Linked DNA regions of Danio rerio. The protein of the gene in region 1 interacts with the protein of each later gene in a biochemical or structural test. Links are inferred from orthologs where the notes say so. Each region holds a gene or a part of one and is shown in the gene's direction. Other genes may lie near its edges. The genes, in order: rbbp8, klhl15 and siah2l.

The links.
Region 2: the proteins of rbbp8 (region 1) and klhl15 form a complex in vitro, tested with the Homo sapiens proteins (2 studies listed by BioGRID, with this or other methods). The link is inferred for Danio rerio from reciprocal best matches to the Homo sapiens genes RBBP8 and KLHL15.
Region 3: the proteins of rbbp8 (region 1) and siah2l form a complex in vitro, tested with the Homo sapiens proteins (2 studies listed by BioGRID). The link is inferred for Danio rerio from reciprocal best matches to the Homo sapiens genes RBBP8 and SIAH2.

Annotation. Positions count from the first base shown.
Region 1 is NC_133199.1:39,942,811-39,950,842, forward strand, and holds the start of rbbp8 (DNA endonuclease RBBP8), read left to right. Parts: upstream 1-3,433; 5' UTR 3,434-3,495; exon of another isoform or gene 3,496-3,638; 5' UTR 3,639-3,670; coding exon 3,671-3,779; intron 3,780-4,922; coding exon 4,923-4,965; intron 4,966-5,187; coding exon 5,188-5,283; intron 5,284-5,371; coding exon 5,372-5,484; intron 5,485-7,524; coding exon 7,525-7,597; intron 7,598-7,688; coding exon 7,689-7,843; intron 7,844-8,032. UniProt on the Homo sapiens protein: Endonuclease that cooperates with the MRE11-RAD50-NBN (MRN) complex in DNA-end resection, the first step of double-strand break (DSB) repair through the homologous recombination (HR) pathway.
Region 2 is NC_133199.1:20,844,083-20,851,878, reverse strand, and holds the start of klhl15 (kelch-like protein 15), read left to right. Parts: upstream 1-2,491; 5' UTR 2,492-2,794; intron 2,795-6,307; 5' UTR 6,308-6,389; intron 6,390-7,796. UniProt on the Homo sapiens protein: Substrate-specific adapter for CUL3 E3 ubiquitin-protein ligase complex.
Region 3 is NC_133196.1:42,018,698-42,026,832, reverse strand, and holds the start of siah2l (E3 ubiquitin-protein ligase Siah2), read left to right. Parts: upstream 1-3,793; 5' UTR 3,794-3,938; coding exon 3,939-4,379; exon of another isoform or gene 4,380-4,381; intron 4,382-8,135. UniProt on the Homo sapiens protein: E3 ubiquitin-protein ligase that mediates ubiquitination and subsequent proteasomal degradation of target proteins.

The DNA of each region.
Region 1 (8,032 bases):
TACTGCCCCATATATATCTGTGTATCTATCTATATATATATAAATAAAAAAAATATAGATATTTTTATTATTAAAAATTTTCATCAGCAATTTCATTAAGAATTTTTCTGCTGCAGTTTTTACCTGTTGCTCCTGTTTACTGTAGGTTCTGTTCAGCAATATATTTGTTATCATAGGCCTTTATCAGTATTTTTAAAGGTTACTAATGGTCCATTTACCTTCAGCAGTTTCCTTTTTTAAATTCTGACTGTAGTTTGGTTTAATAAAGTTTAATTTCATCTTAGTGTTAAGCCATTGCTAAATATTTTGCTAAAATAAATAAGTGTTTTGGTTAAGTCTTAGATGTAATTTCAAATAATTAAAACAAATTAAAACTAAAATTAAAGTGTCCCCTCAACCCTGATATGGTCTTCAACCCCTTCATTGTATTCTCAACCCTGTGAAATTAATATTTTTTGGAAAATAAAATAAGGAAAACAATTAAATATGGAAAACATTCTTGCTGAGTACCAACCACCATGTAAAGGCCTAACACTGTAAATATGTGGTTTGGGTAAGACATCTAAATATAAAAGATTTTTAGAAAAATTAAGAGACCACAGAATTCATAAATTGTATAGTTGTAAGTTAAATCACATATAAATCTAAAACTTATCAAAAATATTATGTTTTAGTCATTACAGTGATTTGAGGGACATATGAGCAATAGGTAAATTTTGGTTTGATAGCAAAAGCTTTGTAAAATACTATTATTAACAACTCAGTTTTGTCCGTAATGGGGTTGAGAATTATAGGTGTCCAAATAAGAATAAAACTGAAAATAATATGAAAGCTGTAATGCCTGAGGGAAATTTTTGAAAGTTTAAATTGTGCCTAATTATGTAGGCTATTTAAAATATAATCAACAGACTTATAAAAATGAGTTTGTTCAAGCTGAAATATTACCAAATGCCAGAAATTACCCATATATATATATATATATATATATATATATATATATATATATATATATATATATATATATATATATATATATATATATATTCATTTTCTTTTCGGCTTAGTTACTTTATTAATCCGGGGTGACCACAGCGAAATAAACCGCCAACTTATCCAGCACGTTTTTATGCAGCGGATGCCCTTCCAGCCGCAACGCATCTCTGGGAAACTATATATATATATAAAACAATGTATATATGTGTGTGTGTGTCTGTGTGTATGTGTGTGCTTATTTATAACAAAAACAGCGATAGGCTACGTCAACGCACGGTACACAATGTATTGATGCCGACGGTGTCATGTAGTTCTACTATAGAAATATTTGAGTGTTTTAGATGTTATTATGTTATATTTTATTGTATAATATTATATGGATATTTTGTTAAGTCATTTCAAGATTTACATGTATGAATATTATCTGACGATCACGCTACCCACAATCTGAAAGTGAAAACAAAAGTGAAAAGGTAGCAAGTTGAGGAGGGGGTGGCTGTTCGCGGATATAACTTAGGACGCAGGTGGTGAGGGAGGTGTCGCGGCTGCCTAGGTAGCCTCTATAGATGAGCCGGCCCTGTACTCACCCAAAACGTTTCATTCATGCTTCAAAGTTATTGGGTCAGTAATTTGGTCATATGGGCTCAAAAACTTTTTTGGTCAAAATGTAGTTGTTTTTTACCATGACAGTCGACGGTCAGATACACATATGGCTACATTTTGTCTTTAAAACAAATGCTACGGGGTGGTGTGACAACGTTCTTGCTAAGCAGCTGATCGCATACAGCCTTTTCTGCTGTTACCAGTTTGCCCAGTAGCTTGACGCATTCGTCGATGGACTTGAGATGCAGAGAGGAGTTGACCATGATGATGGAGTTTGAATCCAGCAAAGAATGGTTCCTGAAGACAAAAACAGAAGCCAAAAAAATTAAATAAACATGTAAAGAATGTGGAAAAATCTGAAAATGCAGTAAAAATTTGACGAGGGCTTTTTTTTCTGGATTGCTTTTTAAAACACTGCAAGTTGGGTTTAGGGAAGGTGTTGGGCTGGTCAGTTGCTGCTTTTGAAAACACTATTGGTTGAGTATAGGGAAGGTGGGTCAGTTGATCGGTCAGTCAGTCAGTCAGTCAGTCACTCTTTAATATTTTGTGATCAACAAAGACACAAGAAACTAGAATTGTTTGCTTGATAAATGTATGCACAGTATGTTTGTCTGTCATTGTGACTCAAATTTTATGATGAATTGCAGCAGAAAAATATTTTATTCTAAAGAGTTCACAAAAACGTGACACGGTGGCGCAGTAGGTAATGCTGTCACCTCACAGCAAGAAGGCTGCTGGTTCGAGCCTCGGCTGGGTCAGTTGGTGTTTCAGTGTGGAGTTTGCATGTTCTCCCTGCGTTCACGTGGGTTATCTCAGGGCACTCTGGTTTCCCCAACAGTCCAAAGACATGCTGTATAGGTGAATTGGGTAGGCTAAAATGTCCGTAGTGTATGAGTGTGAATGGATGTTTTCCAGAGATGGGTTGCGGCTGGAAGGGCATCCGCTGCGTGAAACACATGCTGGATAAGTTGGGAGTTCATGCCACTGTGGTGACCCCAAATTAATAAAGGGACTAAAAGGAAAGTCAAAAAGAAAATGAGCGAATGAATGAAATCACAAACTTTCCTGCCACTACACACAGACACAGGGTTAGCTTTTGTGAATTGTGGGAACATTTGATATTATTCTATTGTTTTCCATTGGTCAAGTAACTATTATTGTTTACACTATACAAGCTGTATTTTCTATTGCCCCAACCCTATTCTGAATTGAAAAAATTGACATTAGCAATGTCCTCATAATTCACAGTCTCTTTGTAATACCCGTGTCATACCCATGTCATTATACACGTTTGTCCGAATATCTCTCTCTCTCTCTCTCCTTTCTTTCTCTTTCTCTCTCTCTCTCACACACACACACACACACAAACACGCGCACAAACACACACACACACACACACACGCAGTTTCCTTACTCTCCAAGGTTATTTTAGCAAACGAAAACGTAAACTTAGACTAAAACAAAAAACATTGGTCAAAAAGCATTTTGATTAACTGAAATAAAACTAAGAAATCATAGTTGGCAAACAAAAACAATTCATCCATTAATTTTCCTTCAGCTCAGCCTATTCCCTTTATTTATCAGGGGAACCGCCAACTATTCCAGCATATGTTTAACACAGCGGAAGTCCTTCCAGTTGCAACCCATCACAGGGAAACACCCATGCACACTCACATTTACACGGCCAATTTAGTTTATTCAACTCACCTATATGTGTGTGACTGTGAACTGTGGGGGAAACCGGAGCACCCGGAACCCACGCCACTGCACGCCCAGTTCCATTACTCCATTCCAGTCGGTGGCGGCAAAGTTCAGTTGCCTACAGCCATTAACAACCAAAGAAGAAAAAGAAAAAGAAGAAGCGGGCAATCAGAATATTTACAACCCCAATTATTGAAGGTATATTGAACGCGCGTTTCCATGTTTAAATGCCTATTATTTTAGTCTTATACGCGGATATACGTTTGTGTAAACATTCAGGAGGGAATTTGTCAGGTGTAAGTGGAGAGTTTTTTTTAAATGTATTTGTGTAAATGCTGGAGTTGTGAAGGATTTACAGTGAAACAGAGTGAAGATGAGCATCACTCCAGCAGATCTGAGTCCTGCTTCATCCTCAGACCACAGGGAGAAACTGCAGGAGCTGCTGACCGCTGTCCGAGACCTGCACGACACCGCACTGCAAGGTAAATAACCTGAGTGGAGTATAAATAATTACATAACAACTAGTTACTTAGTTAATTACATTACTTGTATGCTAAAAATGTAATTTAAGCAATTACTTTGAAATATAGGTAATTATTGTTAGCCTACTTAATTGAGGTAAAGTTGGTTTTATATTCTCTCAATATAGACAATCTCTCTATATTGTTTACCATGGTATTTGACTATTCGGTCTGAAACCACTTGTAAATATCACTTAAAGACAATATACACAATTACCACAACATTGTTTATGAACAAGATAGTCAAATGGCTTTGTCTTCTTTATGACAGTTCACTCTTTACATTACATCCAATGCAATAAAGTCAGATTTTGGTGACATTTGCTGAAAATGCTTTGGACAGAACTATACACTATTTGCACAGCCATTTGAAAACTACAGTAAAGTTAGACATCTCTGCATTTATTGAGGTATCTGAGTACAAGACACTGAATATGTGTGTTTTACATTTTTACTGCATAATCTTGCAATTTTAATTTATTCACATCGTTGCGCTGAAGAATAAATACACACAAATTTACAACAAACCTAATCTCCCTTTGGGTAGAGCTGTGCACACCTGTAAACAATATTGCAGAACATATTGGAACTGAACCTACAACATAGAGGTCTTTAAATAATTCATCAAATCATTCAATTTACAAGAAATTTTCAGAAAAAAAAAAGATTTTATAAAATTTGCTTGAGAGATTTGGACAGCTAGTTTAACATTTTTGTATGTAAAGAATAAAAGAGTAATAAGTAATAAAAGAGGACTATTAGTTTTATATGGAGTGACTATTCAGCATTCACAAGTTCAGTTAATTTGAACTGACATGACATAAACAAATGATAATGTTATAAACAGCAGAGAGTTGTATAAAAGCAATTGATACACGTCAGAAAGCATTTGCAATTTGTTAGACGGAATAAGAAACTGCTGCTATGATGTGCACAAATGACAAAATGTTTTGAGAAATGCAGTTACTGTTGATCGACTGAGAAAAACTGTATTGTGGATTCTGTTTTTCTGATTTGATAACTTTTATAATAAAAATAGATTGTCAAATAACTTATTAAAATATTTTTCTTTTCTCTGACAACATACATGTTTCTCATTTTCAGAATTACAAGCAAAAATAGCTAAACTGAAGAAAGAGCGCTGTCTGTAAGTCCACGTCGTATACAGTGTACATGCAAATATATTTAAAAATGTATATAAATCAGTTTGAGAGTCATTAAAGCATGAATAAATATTTGTGATGATCATTAAACATGCTTAAGCTATTTTGAAAAACCTTTTTTAATCTGTAATCTGTAATGCCACATATCCTATTTGACTGTATTATTATTATTATTAATAATAATAATATTGTGTCTCTTTTCTCAGAGATGCTCAGAAATTGAGTGAATTTCACAGCAAGAATCAACATTTACGAGAGCAACAGAAGATCCAGCAGGAGAAGATCAGACAGCTGGAGGACAGGTGCTCACAAGCAAACCTATTGATCATGTTTTTTATGCATTTATCCTGAATTCGGAGCTCAGTTTTAGTCACTGTGTTATTTTTTTAGGTTGCGTTCTGGACCATGCGATCGCTGCACTGTGAAAGAGAAGCAGATTAAAAAGACAAACACTGAGCTTGAAGATAATAATCAGAGAAATCTGTCTGTCATCTCTGAGCTTGGTGAGTATTTTTGGTGACTATTTCTTTTTCAGTGGTGTTATTAAAGCATATTTTATTGGACTGTGCTGTCTTTAATGTAAATAGATGATGGTTTAGTTTCAGAGGTTTGAACTTATTTACTGTGTCCAGCTTAGATAAATGCACTCTAACAGATTGATCGCTGAAAAATATTCATCTTGCTTTTAAAATAATACTTTCAGCGAGATCTTAAACAGTAAGATATTTGATCAAATATCATTTATTGGTTTATTGTGAGATAAGTCAATACAAAGGGAGAACTGAAACCATTCGAACAACATAATTTGCAATTTATAGTTCAAAATGAACTAGACTCCAATGAATGTTACAAAAAATCTGAAATAAATTGCAATAAATAAAAAAATGAAGGAGGCCATATAAAATAAATGTTTTTTCGTTTTTGTTTGGCTAGTTGTAATTATTTTTAAGAGTGGAAATTATTAAAAAAAACATAACTAGCTATTATGATGCTGCAAGCATTAATACACCCCTATATATATGTTAATTAGAAAATTTTTAATAAATTATAATTAACAAGAAAAATTAAAGAAGCCATACAAAACTTTATATATATAAGGAAATTTTCACAGTATGTCTGATAATATTTTTTCCTCTAGAGAAAGTCTTATTTGTTTTATTTCGACTACAATAAAAGCAGTTTTTAATTTTTAAAAAAGCATTTTATGGTCAATTTTATTAGCCCCTTTAAGCTGTATTTCTTTTTGATTGTATAAACCATCGTTATACAATTACTTGCTTTATTACCCTAACCTGCCTAGTTAACCTAATTAACCAAGTTAAGCCTTTAAATGTCACTCTAAGCTGTATAGAAGTGTCTTGAAAAATATCTAGTAAATTATTATTTACTGTCATCATGGCAAAGATACAAGAAATCTGTTATTAGAAATAAGTTATTAAAACTATTCTGTTTAGAAATGTGTTGAAAAAAATCTTCTCTCTGTTAAACAAAAATTGGGGAAAAAATAAACAGTCGAGGTCAAAATTTATAAATAAAATCATAAATAATTCATAAGAAATGTGTATGTGTATGTAAGTCAGAATTATTAGCCCCCCTGAATTATTAGCGCCCCTGTTTATTTTTTTCCCCTATTTCTGTTTAATGGAGGGAAGATTGTTTCAGCACATTTCTAAGCATAATAGTTTTAAAAAACCTATTTCTAATAACTGATTTATTTTATTTTTGCCATGATGACAGTAAATATTATTTGACTAGATATTTTTTAAGACACTTTTATACAGCTTAAAGTGACATTTAAAGGCTTAACTAGGTTAATTAGGTTAACTAGGCAGGTTAGGGTAATTAGGCAAGTTATTGTATAACGATGGTTTGTTCTGTAGACTATCGAAAAAAAATAGCTTAAAGAGGCTAATAATTTTGTCCCAAAAATAGTTACATTCAAAAAAAAAAAAAAAAAAAAAAATATATATATATATATATATATATATATATATATATATATATATATATATATAATGTCTTTTGGAAATTGTGCATTTGGAATTTGTAATTTAGATGGAATTTTGTAAGAATTGAGTGTTAAAAAAATGGATATAAATAGTTTTTACTTTAAGTTGTCTGAAACTCATCTGTATCTACTAGGGTTGGATGATACATCGGTGGCCATATCAATATCAGCAAACCTGATTTTAATGTTATCTCGATTGGTCTAATAACAAAATTAGGTTTTTATTTGTGCTGTTTTTATGCTTTATTTTTGCTGGTTTTGCCTTGTTGTAAATGTTACTGTTCTGAAGTTAAAGTTTTAAAATAAAATCAGTTGTTCTCTGTAAGTGTTTGATTTTTGTTTTTGCAATCATGCATAACAATTATGGATATAGATATTATTTGTCTGCTATTTTTGTTAATAATATATTGGCTATCTGTTTCAAATCAAATTTACGTTATCAGTTATCAGGTCAAAAATTCCATACCAGTGCAGCTCTCGTCTCATCCAGCCTATCAGTATCAACCCAAAAATCTTCTTCAATGTGTGTGTTTAGAGGCTGAGAGGAAAACTCTGACAGATGAAAACAGGAGACTGAGTCTTGAACTGGAGCGACTCAGGAGGTCTGGGTGAGTCTCAGAGTTGAAGAAAACATGATGAAATACTGAGCACTGGTGACATTCATCATCATATGACCGTCTGTTTTGAGTGTGTGTTTAGTTCTCCACAGAACACGTCCTCTGAGGCTGAGGAGGGAATGATCCCAGACTCTCCTCTCCGGCCGCTGTCTTTACCCGTTGCCAGCAAGATGAAACGCCGGAAAGAGCAGAACCACGTCCGATACACTGAGACACCGCTATCACTCTCACACCCCGGTTAGTCACTCCAGAGAAGTTTAATCAGAATCAGTTTTATTGCCAAGTGTGCTTCACACACACAAGGAATAACACAAGAAGCTTCCAGTGTACATAAAGTGACAACACAAAATAAATATGAGGAAAAAAAGATGATAAACATTAAACGGAGATGCAGTTAGTCCAGAAATCTGGATGTTGAGTTGTATG
Region 2 (7,796 bases), about 19 Mb from region 1:
TGGATGTTTCCCAGAGATGGGTAGTGGCTGGAAGGCCATCTGCTGCGTAAAAACTTGGTGGATAAATTGGCTGTTCATTCCCCGGAATAATAAAGGGACTAAGCTGACAAGAAAATGAATGAATGAATTACTAAATTTAATTTGTTTGTTTAAATTCAGCCCCTCAAATTTTTTTTTTTCAATAAATCAAATGAATTGTTTTTTTTTTCAGTGAACAGGGGACGAAATATTTTATTGTCTGACTTCCACTGTTGTTTAATAATGAAAGAGGTATTAGAAATGGAGGAGATCAGCCTATAAAGTAGACCTAAAGACTTTGAGAATTTGGTCCAGTCCAGATAACGTTCTGCTTCGTAAAAACATGTGCCGGATAAGTTAGTGGTTCATTCCACTGTGGCGACCCTGGATTAATGGGACTAAGGGACCAATCTGAAAAAAAAATTAATGAATGAATAATATTCTGGTGGAAGATTTGGAAAATCTGGAAATTAGTTTAGTTTAAAAACAGACAGTATCTAAAAATAAAAATGAGCACTGGGAAGGCAAATCTTTTGTGTATTAATATATTTAAAAAGTAACCATTTTGAGTGATTGCTTTAAAAGCTTATTGGTGACATGTCACCCAAAATAACTTTCTATATCAGTTTTGATTTAAAGAAAAAGTATAAAGTCAGTGTAAATAAAAATATCACATAAATGCTGTCAACTACACATACTAAACATTGTAGAAACATGAATGTGGGGAGTGCATCATGTCTCTTGTACAGAGGACTGTGTTTTTATTTATTTATTTTTATTTCACAAAAAAATTTACAATTAATCAACATTGACATAAATGTACTCAGAAGAGCCCTCTAATTTTTTCTCTTATATACGTTTACTGTATGTGTATATCACTGTCCTATATGCCCCATTCAGTGTTGACCTATTTTTTTTCAATCTGCTGAATAACTTCCCTTCAGGGATCAATAAAGTACCAATAATGTGAGAGGGAAACTAGTTCAAAGCCTGCACTACATTGCGAAGAACCATTATAATCTCCTAGCGTGTCTGAATGTATACAAATTCTGTAAAAGTAAACAAATAAAAAATATATATTCTTAAAATAAAACAAGTAAAAATAACAATTTTGAAAAAATGGTAGCCTTTGACTTCTATTATTTTTCATTAAGTTGGCTACCGGTTTCCAATGTTCTTTACCTCTATGACTGCCGCTCTACTAAACGGTTGACCATGTTAATACTGTTTTAAATAAAGACTGTTAAAGTAATTTAAAGAATGACTGTTTTAAATATTAGTTTACACACAGCATTGATGGTTTACAAAAAAATAAATAAAAATCAAACAAACGTAACCCTGTTGCACTACTGCACTTGATTAAAATTTTACTGTAAAAAAACAAACAAACAAACAAACACACAAGAAAGCATGTTAAATGAAAATGTAAAATATTTTATGCCATACTTCAACAAATAAAAATGATTTAGTATTCAAAATGTTTTTATTTTGAATATTTTTTAAAAATAAATTGGTCCTACACTTTTCATAGTATACGTGTTAATTCCATTAATTTTACCATGCACAGACATATCAATCATTTGGTAGAGGCTGATATTTTAGAAGTTATTGGATGTGCTGAAAAAAAAGCATTGAGTGTGTTAACTAGCAACATTAGGAGTTGGAAATGTAATCTTTTTTTTTTTTTTGGTGGGGCAGTTAAAGGGTTCAAATGTATTTTTGTGTTAAAACAAAACACAAGTATTACAAACATTACAAAAGTAAAACTAATAAACATTCGAGGGGGAGTGAGTGGTGAGGAACTTTTTCGGGGACAAAGTAACTCTATAAAAGGCTGATAATAAAATAATATTTTATCACACAATGGCAGCAAATTAATTAACTGGGTCTTCATTTGAAATAATAGGTAGTAGGTAGGTAGTGCTGCCGCCTCACAGCAAGAAGGTCGCTGTTTCGAGCCTCGGCTGGTTTAGTTGGCGTTTCTGTGTGGAGTTTGCATGTTCTCCCTGCATTCGCGTGGGTTTTCTCTGGGTACTTTGGTTTCCCCCACAGTCCAAAGACATGAAGTACAGGTGAATTGGGTAAGCTAAATTGTGTATGAGTGTGTCTGAATGAGCGTGTGATTGTTTCCCAGTGATGGGTTGCAGCTGGAAGGGTATCTGCAGCGTAAAAACATATGCTGGATAAGTTGGTGGTTCATTCCGCTGTGGCGACGCCTGATTAATAAAGGGACTAAGTCAAAAAAGAAAATGAATGAATAATATAGCTATAATATAATATAATATAATATAATATAATAATATAACATAATAAAATATTAATTAAACAGGAGATTTCCCCTCTCAAATCTTTCAACTGCCTAATGCATTATCTAAAATCATAATATAGTCATAAATTTTGTGCTCATAACGATTTCCAGCTCTGTGACGGACTAAAACATGTTCATTTAGACTCCATAGACAGTCATTGCAGTGGACACAGAGAAACTCCAACAACATTTCCGTCCGACCGACAAATGTTCGGGAAATGACGTCAGTGCAGACAATAATATGGCGTCTACGATCGCTGTGGTGCCTATAGACAAACAACATTTAGCGATTCCGTACAAATAACATTGATTTATTGTCACCTAAAGTCGCCAATGGGCAGCACAGCTCCGTCGATAATGAGATGTAATCTTTAATTTCTCTGCTCTTTGTCTGACATCAGCACTCCATGTCCGAAGGACCTCGGGCTCCCTGGTCGAAGCGGGGTTGCGTGGAGTCGCATCGCCGAGGTAAAGCCTGCTACAAACCGTCTCATTTCACACAGCAACATTGTCATGCTTTAAAACACACTCCTTTTAACCTGGCGTTGCCGAAAACACCGGAATTCTTATGTTTGTAGAGCGTTGACATTTGCTAGGACATGTCACCGGTGATTATTGACTGTGTCTATGATATTGACCTATCTAGTGAGCTCCCTAGGTAGACAGCTTGTTTGGTCATTACATGTAAGTGAAGCGTTTTTTTGAGATTTAGTGATCACGAATGCAGTCTAGGCGGACAGATTAGTAGGTGACACAATATTGACAGTCAATTTTCAGTTTTGTTCAGATACTGAATTCTGAACATGACATAATACATTAGATGATAATAATACAAGCTTCTCTGTGAATCAGTCAAGTGTTGTTTTTGTGTCTGATGGTGGTTTGCTGAGATTTTGAGCATGAGGTCATTCAAATTCAAAGGTTTTCATTCATGTAAGGTGTAATATAAGGTTTAAGAGTAGTATTTGCCTTTAGTAGTGTTCACACTTTTCTCTAATTGTCTTGTTAGTTATTGTTACAGAGATGTTTATCACATTGTATGTCAAAACAAGAAGATTTATTGTAAAAAAAAATTTATATAAAATTAAGAGGCATCTGGGTAGTTATGGAGCAGTTAGCATTTGAGACATACAATTGAAGTCAGAATTATTAGCCCCCCCTGAATTATTAGACCCATTTATTTCGCCCCCCAATTTTTCTTTAACGGAGAGAAGATTCTTTCAACTAATTTCTGAATATAATAGTTTTAATGACTCATTTCTAATAACCGAATTGTTTTATCTTTGTCATGATGATATTTTACTAGATATTTTTTAAGGCACTTTTATACAACTTAAAGTGACATTTAAAGGCTTAACTAGGTTAATTGGGCAAGGTGGGGTAATTAGGCAAGTTAAAATACAACAATGGTTTGTTCTGTAGAGTATTGAAAATAAAAATAGCTTAAATGGGCGAATAATTTTGATCTTAAAATGGTTTTAAAAAAATTAAAAACTGCTTTTATTCTAGCTGAAATAAAACAAATAAGACTTTCTCCAGAAGACAAAATTTTATCAGACTGTTATTCACTGCTATTATAAATATTATTCACTGTGAAAAATTCCTGTGCTCTCTTAAACATAATTTAGGAAATATTTAAAAAAGAAACAAAAATAAAAATGTGGATAATAATTCTGACTTTAACTGTATGAGTGACATTTGAGTTTTTTTTTTATTAAGTTCCATCTAAAATATAGGGATCTGTTCAATTTTTTATTATTTATTTAAAAAGAAGTGTCATGTAAAAAAACAACTATAAAATTAGGATATATTAACATGTAGGAAAATGACCTTTATTATAGTAATATTAATATAAACGTAAATCAGTTCATATTTGTTTCTGTACTACACATAAATGTGATCTATTATTTTAATGGCAAACCTAATTTTTGGTATACAGTAGCCTTTATGCAAGTCCTAAGTGCCACATGATCTTTGAATAATCATTCTCATCCACCTAAATCTCATTCCCATCCCAAACGAGCCCCCTTGTATCCTACTGCAGTTCTACTGCACCCAACCCATGCTGAGCTGGGATCGAACCGGCGATTCTTTGTATGGGAGTTGGTTGCCTTAACAAGGAGTCTAACGCCTCACACGGGGCTCAAGTGTCAACGCTTGACAGAGGACGTGTCTAAAGTTAGGGCTGACGTGATCGTCATAGCAACGTCAGCCAATGAAAATAGTCAGTAATAGGCCACTGTCTGAGCTGGTGTATTTGCATACCGTGATCTGATTGGCTGACACTTCCGTCGGTGCTTGAAAAGTTGAGCAAGTCCTAACTTCTGCAGCGAGCAACGCCACCAAAGAGCTTAGAATGACCAAGAGGCGACACTCTAGTGTAATTTGGGAAACAGCCACTAGAGGGCGGCTGCCATTTTGGTATGAAAACTCCAATAGAACAACAGCATATTATAAGTCTGTTAAATAAACTATTAAAAGTGCTGATGATTGTGATAGTAAGTGTTGTATTGTCGTCTTTCAGGTTGTATCTCAGCTTTAATGCGCTTTTTAAATAAATAAATAAAAAACAAAGCAGCTGCTTGCCATCGCGACAGTAATGAGATCCAATGGACGGCCGATCACTTTAACTCCAACATGGCGGAATCCGGGGCTGTTGCTGGGTGCTGCTGTTGCAATGGAACGTTCTATTGAGTGTCGCCTCTTGGTCATTCTAAGCTCTTTGACGCCTCTGAAGCGGCACCGACGGATCCACAATGCAGTTCGGCAACGCCTGACATCATCCATTCAAAGTGAATGGGAAGCTTTAACGCTGACGCCCCATGTGAATGTGGCGTAAAGGCCATGGCCTCTAGCATTTGTTGCTAGCGCACCTTTTAAGGTCAGAGAAATGAGGTTTACCTGCATCTCCGTTACCTACAGATTCATGATCATGATCTATTTTGAAATAATATGTGCTGGATCATGTTTGAACTATTTACATTTGATCACAATTTATTTTAAGATTCTTTGATTAATAGAATGTTTAGAAGAAGGTTGACGCTGTGGCACAATGGGTAGCAAAATTGCCTCACAGCAAGAAGGTCGCTGGTTCGAGCCTCAGCTGGGTCAGTTGGCATTTCTGTGTGGAGTTTGCATGTCCAGAAGACATGTGGTATAGGAAAATTGGGTAAGCTAAAATTGGCCGTAGTGTATGTGTGTGATTGAGTTTGTTTGGGTGTTTACCAGTGATGGGTTGCAGCTGGAAGTGTATCGGCTGAGTAAAACATGTGCTGGATAAGTTGGCGGTTCATTCAGCTGTGGCGACCCCATATTAATAAAGGGACTTAGCTGAAAAGAAAATGAATGAAGGAATGTTTAGAAGAAATGCTTTTTATCTGAAATATGTATATATTATAGCATTATAAATGTATTTGCTATAACCTTTAAGCAGTTTATTGCCTACATTGTACATATTTCCTTAAAGTGAAATTTCTCTTGTATTACACATGTAAATTATGATTTCTTCAGTATCCGTTTAATTTTACAAATTTTTTTCCTAATTTAGCAAAAGTGCAAACTATAATAAAATAACACACAAAAAAAAAACTATATAAAATAACACACAAAAGCAAAAATGCTTTCTTTTCAAAAATGTTTCCTTAAGATTAACATGGTGTTGTTTAAAAGTACCCCTATAAAAATACATCAAATATACCCCAATATTAATATTACCCCAATAAAACAAATTGTGTTTCATTAAGACTGTAAATAACACATTGAATTACACATGATATCTTCAAGTAGATATGAACATGAATCAAATGCTGCTTAGTGTCTTGTATGTGTATTGTAACATATTTTTGCTCTTTAAAAAATATTTTTTAAAGGGTTTTAAAGAATAAAAATATTGGTAAAAGAAAAATACGATAATCAAAAAATATAAATGATCATTATTTATCCTGTCTGTTTACAAGCATCTGGATGTGGTCTTTGTTTTAGAGCAGGGCAAGTACAAGCAGAGGAAATGTGAACGTCCCTTCAGCGCAGTAAAGCCCATGATTGGCCAGGAGGCCTCGAAAAGGTAAGGCCACAAACTCATCACACTATTGTTTTCTTAACTGCATAACTTGGTAAGGATGAGGAACATGAAGTGCTACTCAGTGTCATACATATCAAGTGCCCTGATATACTCAAGGGTAGTTCATTTAGGGCTTAAAAAAAGTTTAGTTCAAACAAGGGCTGGGCGATTTGGCCTATAAATTTAAATCTCGATCAATTAAACATTTTAACTCTGTTACAATTATTGAGTGATTATTTATTTATTTCGCCCTCATAGTTTACTGACGTGTTTTGTACAGTAAATATGCTCACATAATACAAGTGACAGATATTTCTGAATGAAGCGTGCATTACTTGATTGCAAAATGATTGAAGGAAACACAGTCTACTTTCTATGATTATTTACAGACATCAACTTTGAACAACTAAAATTAAAACACACATCACCCAAAACAAAGTCACGTTTTTCTTATAAAAAACAAAAATAAATAACTTGAAAAATTATTTTCAGTATTTTTCATATGAGAAGTAAAAATTAGGAATATCTCTTTTAAATAAAATAACACTTCTTAATTGTTTAAACAGTACATTTCTTGCATCTACTATAAACAAATATTTCAAAGTAAATTATAGTTTTAGTGTAATGGAAAATAAGCCATCTCAAGGCATCTCTGGTGCAGCTTCCATTCATCGTCAATGTAGTGCAAAGTAAGGCTCAAGAATGGGTCCATCGCCAGGAACCGGTGGACGTGCAACATCTTTAATCGTAAGGTAAACACAAAACAAAAGTTTCCATATGTAGCTTCTTCATGGCACTGTCCACTTGTTAATAATCGCTCCTACATGCTCTCTAGCGACTCTCCGTGCTGCCCACTCGTCGCCGCTACCAAACCGATTAATCACAGAGCTTGTGCTACATGTAGTTAATAGAGCGGGGGCACGTGACCTCACACGCGGTAGGGAAAGTTATTGAAAAAGTCGACCAGGAAAAATTTGATCGATTATATTGTTCTGAATGTCGATTATATTACTTTTCGATTAATCGCTCAGCCTTAGTTCAAACTGCAGAGAGTGTGTTCAGATGAATATGTAAATATATGTTGCACGCTTTCCTCCAATTACCACAATAAACATACAGCTTAAATAACATCAATGGGAAAACAGCAGTTAAAACATTAGTTCAGGAGCTGAAAGATCACATTGCAATTTTAGTGCAGCATAAAAGGCCTCTACTACACAACACCGCCAAAGGAAGAAGGCTCTTGTCTAGCAAAATTAGGTTTTGTTAACTACAAATGCTCCTCAGATTCACACATTAAGTAATCCTGTTTAAAAGATGCACGTGGCAAAACTTCCAAGTAGTCCTACATTGTTTCACTAGGGTGGCACAGTGGCTGAGTGTTTAGCACTGTCGCTTCACAACAAGAAG
Region 3 (8,135 bases), on another chromosome or scaffold:
TGTGCGTTTTCAGCGGTAGAGAGGAAGGAGGGCTGCTCAGAAATGCTACACGCCAGTGTGGATGTGGATCGTTGTCGTTTTAAAATGCCATTTAAAAACAAAGACATATTAGTGTAAACAGGGCCTGAGTGTGTATTTTACGCGAGCGGATTTGCAACGGGTGCGGGGCGGAGGATCGCGATGCGCCCATCGTCTATCATCCCAACCGTAATAGGTACATAGCAGAGCTTGCAAACAGTTTTTTTTTGTCGACAACACGAACGTTGTCAACATAACTGACTGGAAATCCAAAATACTTCCACACCGGCGACTTCATTGAAAGAGGAGAGGGTTTAAGTTCTGTCGACGGGTCTCCAGTGTCTGCAGTTTAACAAGCACTTCAACAAGCATGTTTTTTTCCCGCTTGGCAAGCCAAGCTAACTTGACATGGGGGCGTGGCAGCATCGACGATTCTATTTTTTGATTCGATAATTGAAGTCGAGCATAAATTTAGATTGATTTCGATTAAAAATCGAAATCATGACACCCCTAATATATATATATATATATATATATATATATATATATATATATATATATATATATATATATTTATATATTTATACATATATATATATATATATATATATATATATATATATATATATATATATATATATATATACACATGTGTGTATATATATATATGTACAAGAAATATGTATTGTAAGAGTTTTTGTTGTGTAGTGAGATAAATGTAAAAAAAATGCATTTACTTACACGAACAAACAATGAACACTACAATAATAACAGTATTTATTTAACTGTGTTAATGTTACTTAATGAAAATAAAGTTGTTCATTGCTAGTTTAACTCTAGGTGCTTTAACTAATGTTAGCAAGCCTTAATTTGGATTTAAATAATACACTAGTAATTGTTGAACTATGATTGGGCCCACACTGAATCTGCACACGCAGAAATCTACAGATTTTTAGCCCATCATACATAAGTCTTTGTATTTACTTGCGTAACTGTGTAAATTCATATTTTATTCAGTTTATTATTGTAATATAACAATATTAAAATGTTCATAAGATTTATTTACAATACAGTTTGTAAAGTAATATGTTCTGTCTTTTAGTGGAGATATTATGACTACTTTAAAGAGACTTGTTTTGTTTACCAAAAAAGTGAATCTAATTGGATTTGCATTGTAAACAATAAAGTTACAAATTTATTTTTATTTTATACATTAAGTTTTTAGTTATGATACTCCTAAAATCATTCCGCATAAATCTTCAGATTCTGTCTGGCCCTAACTTTGATAAATAAACCGGTGACGTTAGTAAATACAGAAAAATAAAATAAAATGAAATGCCAGCAGAGGGAGCTGGTTAGACGGGACAAGGTTTGTGATGTTTTACTCTTCGAATACTGTAGAAACTGCTATGATATAATTATTTAATAAGCAGTTAATACACTCACCCGGCGTCCTTGACTCTGATTCACTGATGCTAGCTGTAATATTGTATTCATTGTGTATTTACATGCAAACTGTAATTTAAAATAAAAACAAAAATTAAATGGTTCCAGATTAAGAGTGAATGAGAAGAATTTCAAAAACATTGATTAGGTTATTTTAAATGCATTGCACAGTAAAAAAAAAAAAAAAAAAAAAAGAGGCCGCTTTCTACATGTAAACCAGTCAAAGGTCTAACGTTAAGATCATTATTGCTTTTGGGAAATAACAAAAACATTAATATTGTCACATTGTGATATATTATCTGAATGTATTTTAGAAATAAATTTATTACTGTGATTCAAAGATGAATTTTGAGCTTTATTACTTAAGTAGCACAACAAGTAGTGATGTTCAGAAATCTTCTTAATGAGGATGATGCTCAGACATTTATTTTTCATTCTAATTTTTTCATCAGACATTCCATTAGAGGAAAGTCCTTACCCCAGGTGGAAGAGTTCAAGTATCTTGGGTTTTTGTTCACATGTGAGGGAAGAATGGAGCATAAGATTGACAGGCAGATTGGTGCTGCAGTAATACGGTCGATGTACCGGTCTAAGGGGCTGAGCCGAAAGGCAAAACTCTCAATTTACCGGTCAATTTAAGTTCCTACACCTATGTTCATGAGCTTGGGATCATGACCGAAAGGACAATATCTTGGATACAAGCGGCCGAAATCAGTTTCCTTTGCAGGGTCACCTGTGAGGAGCTCGGAGTAGAGCTGTTGCTCCTACACATCAAGAGAAGTCAGCTGAGGTGGCTCGGGCATCTGTTTCAGATGCCTCCAGGACGCCTACCTAGGGAGATGTTCCAGGCATGTCAAACCGGGAGAAGGCCTTCGGGAAGACCCAGGACACGCTGAAGGGACTATGTCTATCGTCTGGCCTGAGAACGCCTCTGGATCCCCCCCCGGAGAAGCTGGAGGTAGTGTCTGGGTAGAGGGAAGTCTGGAGTTCTCTCCTAAAGACTGCTGCCCCTGCAACCCGGCCCTGGAAAAGCGGATGAAAATTACATGACGTGATTATGAAGTGACAGTAAAACATTCCATTGTGTTTAATTGATCAATTATTTATAATTTCTGTTCTTCAAAGAATCCTGGAAAGTAAAATGAAACTTGGTTTCTACAAAAACATAAAGCAGAAAGGATGCGTTCAACATTTAGCATAATGAAAACTATTATTATTGACTGAGCATGAACATTAATTGTAAATAAGCTTTATAAAAATAAGTGGAGTAACAGTGCTTAAAAATCTTTAATTCACTAAAATACCTCTTTAAAATTAAATAATATTTACTGTTTTTTTGCATTTCTAAACGAATAACACCTCATACTACCTCTGTAGTTACCTCATGCTACCTCCTTAATATTAAGACAGTGTCACTTTATCATATATCATATTTTTGCACTATATACTGTTTTGCATCTGCACAACTCCTGGTTTGCACTCCTTATCATGTGCCCTTAATTGAATTGTTTACAAATCTTAATTTTCACGTATATCTTTACATTATTTTATATGTGTAACATTAATTGTATTTATTGTAATTTCTATTTTAAAATGTAACTTTTTGTATCAATAATATCTGTTAGTCACCTAGGGTCTGAGAGTAACACAATTTTCAATGTATGTCCTGTAAGGGCAGCATAGTGGCGTAGTGTGTAGCACCGCAAGATGGTCGGTGGTTCGAGCCCCGGCTGGGTCAGTTGGCGTTTCCATGTGGAGTTTGTGTGGGTTTCCTGCGGGTGCTCCGTTTCCCCCACAAGTCCAAAGACATGTGGAATAGGTGACTTGTCCGTGGTGTATGTGTGTGAATGGATGTTTCCAGTGATGGGTTGCAGCTGGAAAGGCATTTGCTGCATAAAACATATGCTGGATAAGCTGATGGATAAGCTGGCGGTTCATTCCCCTGTGGGACTAAGCGAATGAACGAATGTATGTCCTGCACATGTGCTTGAATTGACAATAAAGTTGACTTTGACTTGCAGCCTCTGTGATGAGAAGATACTTCTTTCATTAACAACGAAAATGTTTCCAGAATGTTCACTGGTTCTGTTATTGATTCTTTCTCATTGTTTCTTTCCAACACGACAGTCTACTGATTACATAAAGCAGTGAAACATCGTGTGAAAGAACCACCGCGCAAATGTTTGCTGTTTACTTCACTACAGCCACTCACGCAATTACTACATATTCCGGCAACTCTTACATAAACCGCAGGAGCTACTCTCTGATTGGCTGAGGAGAGTGTCAATCAAACTTCCTTCACCCAATAGTCTCATTACTCGCTCTCAAACTATGGCGGCCATGTTGTATCCGCGGGGGATTGGAGGAGGCTACTCGGAACCGAGTCCGTGTTCAGTCGGGAGTGGACGGTGAGGCTCTCGGGCTTCAGCTACTCGGGGTTTTACACCATCAAACATCGACCGACACTCCTCGCCATGAGCCGTCCGTCCTCTGCGGGTGGAGCGGCCGGAGGACTCGGAGCTGGAAAAGCAGGAGGAAGTAAGCATGGAGGTTCTGGAGGAACAACTGCCTCTGCTGCCGCCGCCGCCGCTGCTGCCGCGGCCGCCGCAGCAGCTGCAGCCGCCGCGGGGGTGTCCGGCTCCGTCGCGGGTTCTGGTACGGTTCCCGCAGCAGCTGTAGCGCTTCCAGTCGCGGCTCTTCCGGGACAGTCCCCCGAGCTGACAGCGCTGTTTGAGTGCCCGGTGTGTTTCGACTATGTGCTGCCGCCGATCCTGCAGTGCCAGGCTGGGCATCTGGTGTGTAACCAGTGTCGGCAAAAGCTCAGCTGCTGCCCGACCTGTCGCGGCCCTCTCACGCCGAGCATACGGAACTTGGCAATGGAAAAAGTTGCATCTACTCTGCCGTTTCCGTGTAAGGTAAGAATTGCGCGTTCACGACTGTCATAATAACCAATGCAAAGTCGCCTGCAGTATTGTTTCAGTCAGCACTGCATGATGGCACGCATGAGTTTAGGAAGTGTAACTAAAACTCGAGATGCCACAGGTGCATTGGCTATCATATCAGATCAGTGTTTTTGTTTATGCTGCTGAAGTGTGTTTTTTCATTGGTTGAATATTATAGTCGGTCACTTAGGTAGTTAAATTGAGTTTTTAGTTGGATGAAATAACCGAAATTGAGAGACTTTAGTAATTTAGTGGCTTCAATATTGCTTCAACCAATGGCATCAGTTAGGAGGCGGGGCTTTGACTGTATCCAACCAATGGCTGGCTAAGGAGGCGTTGTGTATCGGGGAGACCTGTTTGAGAACAAACATTTTGTAATTTAGATGGTTGATGTTGAGGGCACATGTCTAAAAATTGAGACTGACATGGCTTAATCATGAAAACTAGTCCAATTTTATGATACTTTTGTTTTTTTATTTTATTTTTATGTTATTAATTATACTATAAAAAACTTTTGATCTACTTGAAGTGCTGTATATTGTAGATATCAGTCCATTTAATATAATGCAAGCTAAATTGACTGTCAAAGTTGAATTAAGGACAGCAACTACATTTTCTCTCAGTTGACTTGTCGTATTAGTAAATACTATTTGTTAGAAATGGCTATGCAATTTATCACACATATTTAAACCTTTTAAATCTTTTTATCCATTTTCTTAATTTTGTGAATCAAATTATTTTTGTTTTCGAGTTTGTTGTTACTTCCTTAATTATTTTATAATAGAATGCTGAACTTACCACATGTTGTGTGACAGTTGATGTGTAATAATAATCATGCTTAAAATAAAAATACAGAAAGCTTGATTTAATTGCATAAACTCAAACTCGTTTGTGCATTAATGCAATCACATATGAAATAATTTTTCTTTGTCACACTAACATCTCAATTTCAAGTAATACTTTTCTTTTGTGATTTATTCAGTCTATTGGCTAAATTGCAAATTACGCTGGATCACAAGTGGCTTTTTTACTGAATTTTCACCAAATCTCTGCAGTTGTTTAGTATGAAACTGACACGGACAGTTCACCCGAAAATGAAAATTCTGCCATCATTTACTCAGTTTGAGTTTTGTTGTTCTGTTGAACACAAAAGAAGATATTTTGAAGACTGTTGTAAATCATTGACTTCCATAATATCACATTTTCCTTCTATGAATTTCAATGGTTACTAGTTTCCAAAAGTTATCAACAGAAGAACAAAAAACAGGTTTGGAAGTCAAGGGTCATTAAATGATAGCAGAATTTTTTGTTTTTTTGGGTTGCACTATCCCTTGAATTAACCTCATTCATTCACAATTACACATCTAATTCTGAATCTAGAAATCTGACAAGAAACAAACATGACTTGATTTTCGAAATCTCACATTTTAGCAGCCCAGTTACTGAAACCATTGATTTGGTTCAGATGTTAGAAATCTTGTTTAGTATACCCACTACCAGAATAACTTTTTGTTGAATCTGAATTCACCCTAGATTAGTTCTAGCTCTCCACAGTTTTGAAAGTTTTCTTTTTATTGTGATTGACCTGAAACCCTTTTATTGCATCATCAGTGCATTAAAGTTGTATCCTCTGTTATCGCTGGCCTGTGAAAGTTGATCACTACTCTTGTTCCCTGGGCTAATGTTTCCTCCTTACAGTGGCTGTAATCAGGACGTGGCGACTGGTACTTGATGTAGAGCAGTTTCTAAAGTGATACCAGCCGTCAGCGAAGGAAAGTAGCCTTCAACGTTTGTGGTGAAAGTAAAGCTGCATCTGCTGCTTGTTTTTAAAAGGGCTTTGTCTGTTCTTCAATGGTCAGCTATAGCAGCATTAAAATGTATGTGTGTTTGTGGATGTATGTGAATTGTGTAATTCTGGAATTGTGCCATGTGCTAAACTAAACAGGTTTCTGACACCATTACCTCTTAACATTATTTTGTATTCACCTTTGACAATTAGTGTTTATACCAATGCTCTTGTTCTGACAGTTAGGGGTAGGGCTGCACAATATCGTTTTAGCATCGATATCATCGATAATGTGCGCATAAGCAAGAGTTACATTGTATGATCTGCAATGTTGAGTTGATATTATAGTGTAACCCTAATAGAGTAAAAATGTATCAATTGCCTATGATTGTAAGGATTTCAGGAAAGTTTAAAGCATTCAGAGTCAAGAAATGTTTATTGTTTGTGACTTAATGAAGGTTAAATTCATAGTTCATAAATTATTAATATGATCAATACTATACAGTCCTGTTTTATTTTTCATTATTCCTTTTCTTTAGCTGAATACTATTAAAAAACTCCCATGAAATGCACTGTTTATTTCACTTTTATCTTTTGATCTGTTATATTAATAAATGATTGAAAAAATTTTTTCCTCCATGTGCTCCGGTTTCCCCCACAAGTCCAAAGACATGTGGTATAGGTTAATTGGGTAGGCTAAATTGTCCGTAGTGTATGGGTGTGTATGGATGTTTCCAAGTGATGGGTTGCAGCTGAAAGGGCATCCTCTGTGTAAAACATATGCTGGATAAGTCGGCGGTTCATTCCACTGTTGCGAGTGCCGACCCCAGATTAATAAATGGATTAAGCCGAAAATAAAATAATTGGATGAATGAATGAATGAATGAATTTTGTTTATTAAACTTTATGCAAATAATAATCTTAACTAAATGAATGACTGATTTCCAAATAGAGCTAATAAAGTTATCTGGTATAATGGAGTTTATATCGCAATATATATTGCAAAAAAACAAAATGTCACTATGTCAGATTTTGTTTATATCGTGCAGCCCTAGTAAGGGGTCATGAAAATAAGTTGCTTATTTATTGGATGCTGGTCCGTCTGTGTAAATGCTGAGCACATTTAGTATCTTTTGGTTAAAAAAATTTTATTTTTTGATCGCTGAGGACATGATCATCTAGAACCTACTGTGGTCAGGAAAAATCCCATGAATTTCTCATGAGAAATTTCTCACGATTTCTTCTTTAGAAGGTTAACTGACTGAAACTCAAAAGAACATATTTTAAAGAATTGTTAGAAATTGAGCAGTTTTGGTTACCAGTGACAAAAACAAAACACTAATGCCGAGTTCAGACTGCTTGATTTTCAAACTAGTCGTGTCACAGATGTTTTCACACTGCATGACTATCTGGGCTAGCATTTCGTCGCTGCTTTGTTTACACTGCAAGATGGATCGGCAACATGGACATTCACATTGCATGACTTTACTATAGGGAGAATCGCGGACAACTTCAACCAAACTACGTCTCACAGCCAAAAACATGTAGTATATCTTTTGTTATTAACTACATAATGAGAAAGAAGCCTTTAATGGGGTAGAACACGTACATGTTTGCTCACCTGGGTTTAAAGGGAATTTGCCATTTCTCCTCAACGTTGATAATAAACTAATTTCTTTCTGTATGTAACGTCAAACAGACACGGTTGCTCCTGAGTCCTGTCAAACCTCCACTAGTTTTCCCTCCATTTCGTGAGTCCAAATAAACCGAAAAAGAGCGCTTTTAATTTCTTCTCCAGCCTCCCGCTGGCCTGCACAAGTGAAAGCTGCTCTCTCATTGGCTGTAGGCGATGGCTGATGTTATTTTCAGTCAAAACTCCATTCACACGGCATGATTTGAATCACCGACAACTCTAGATATTTAGCACGCCAAATATCTCGCAG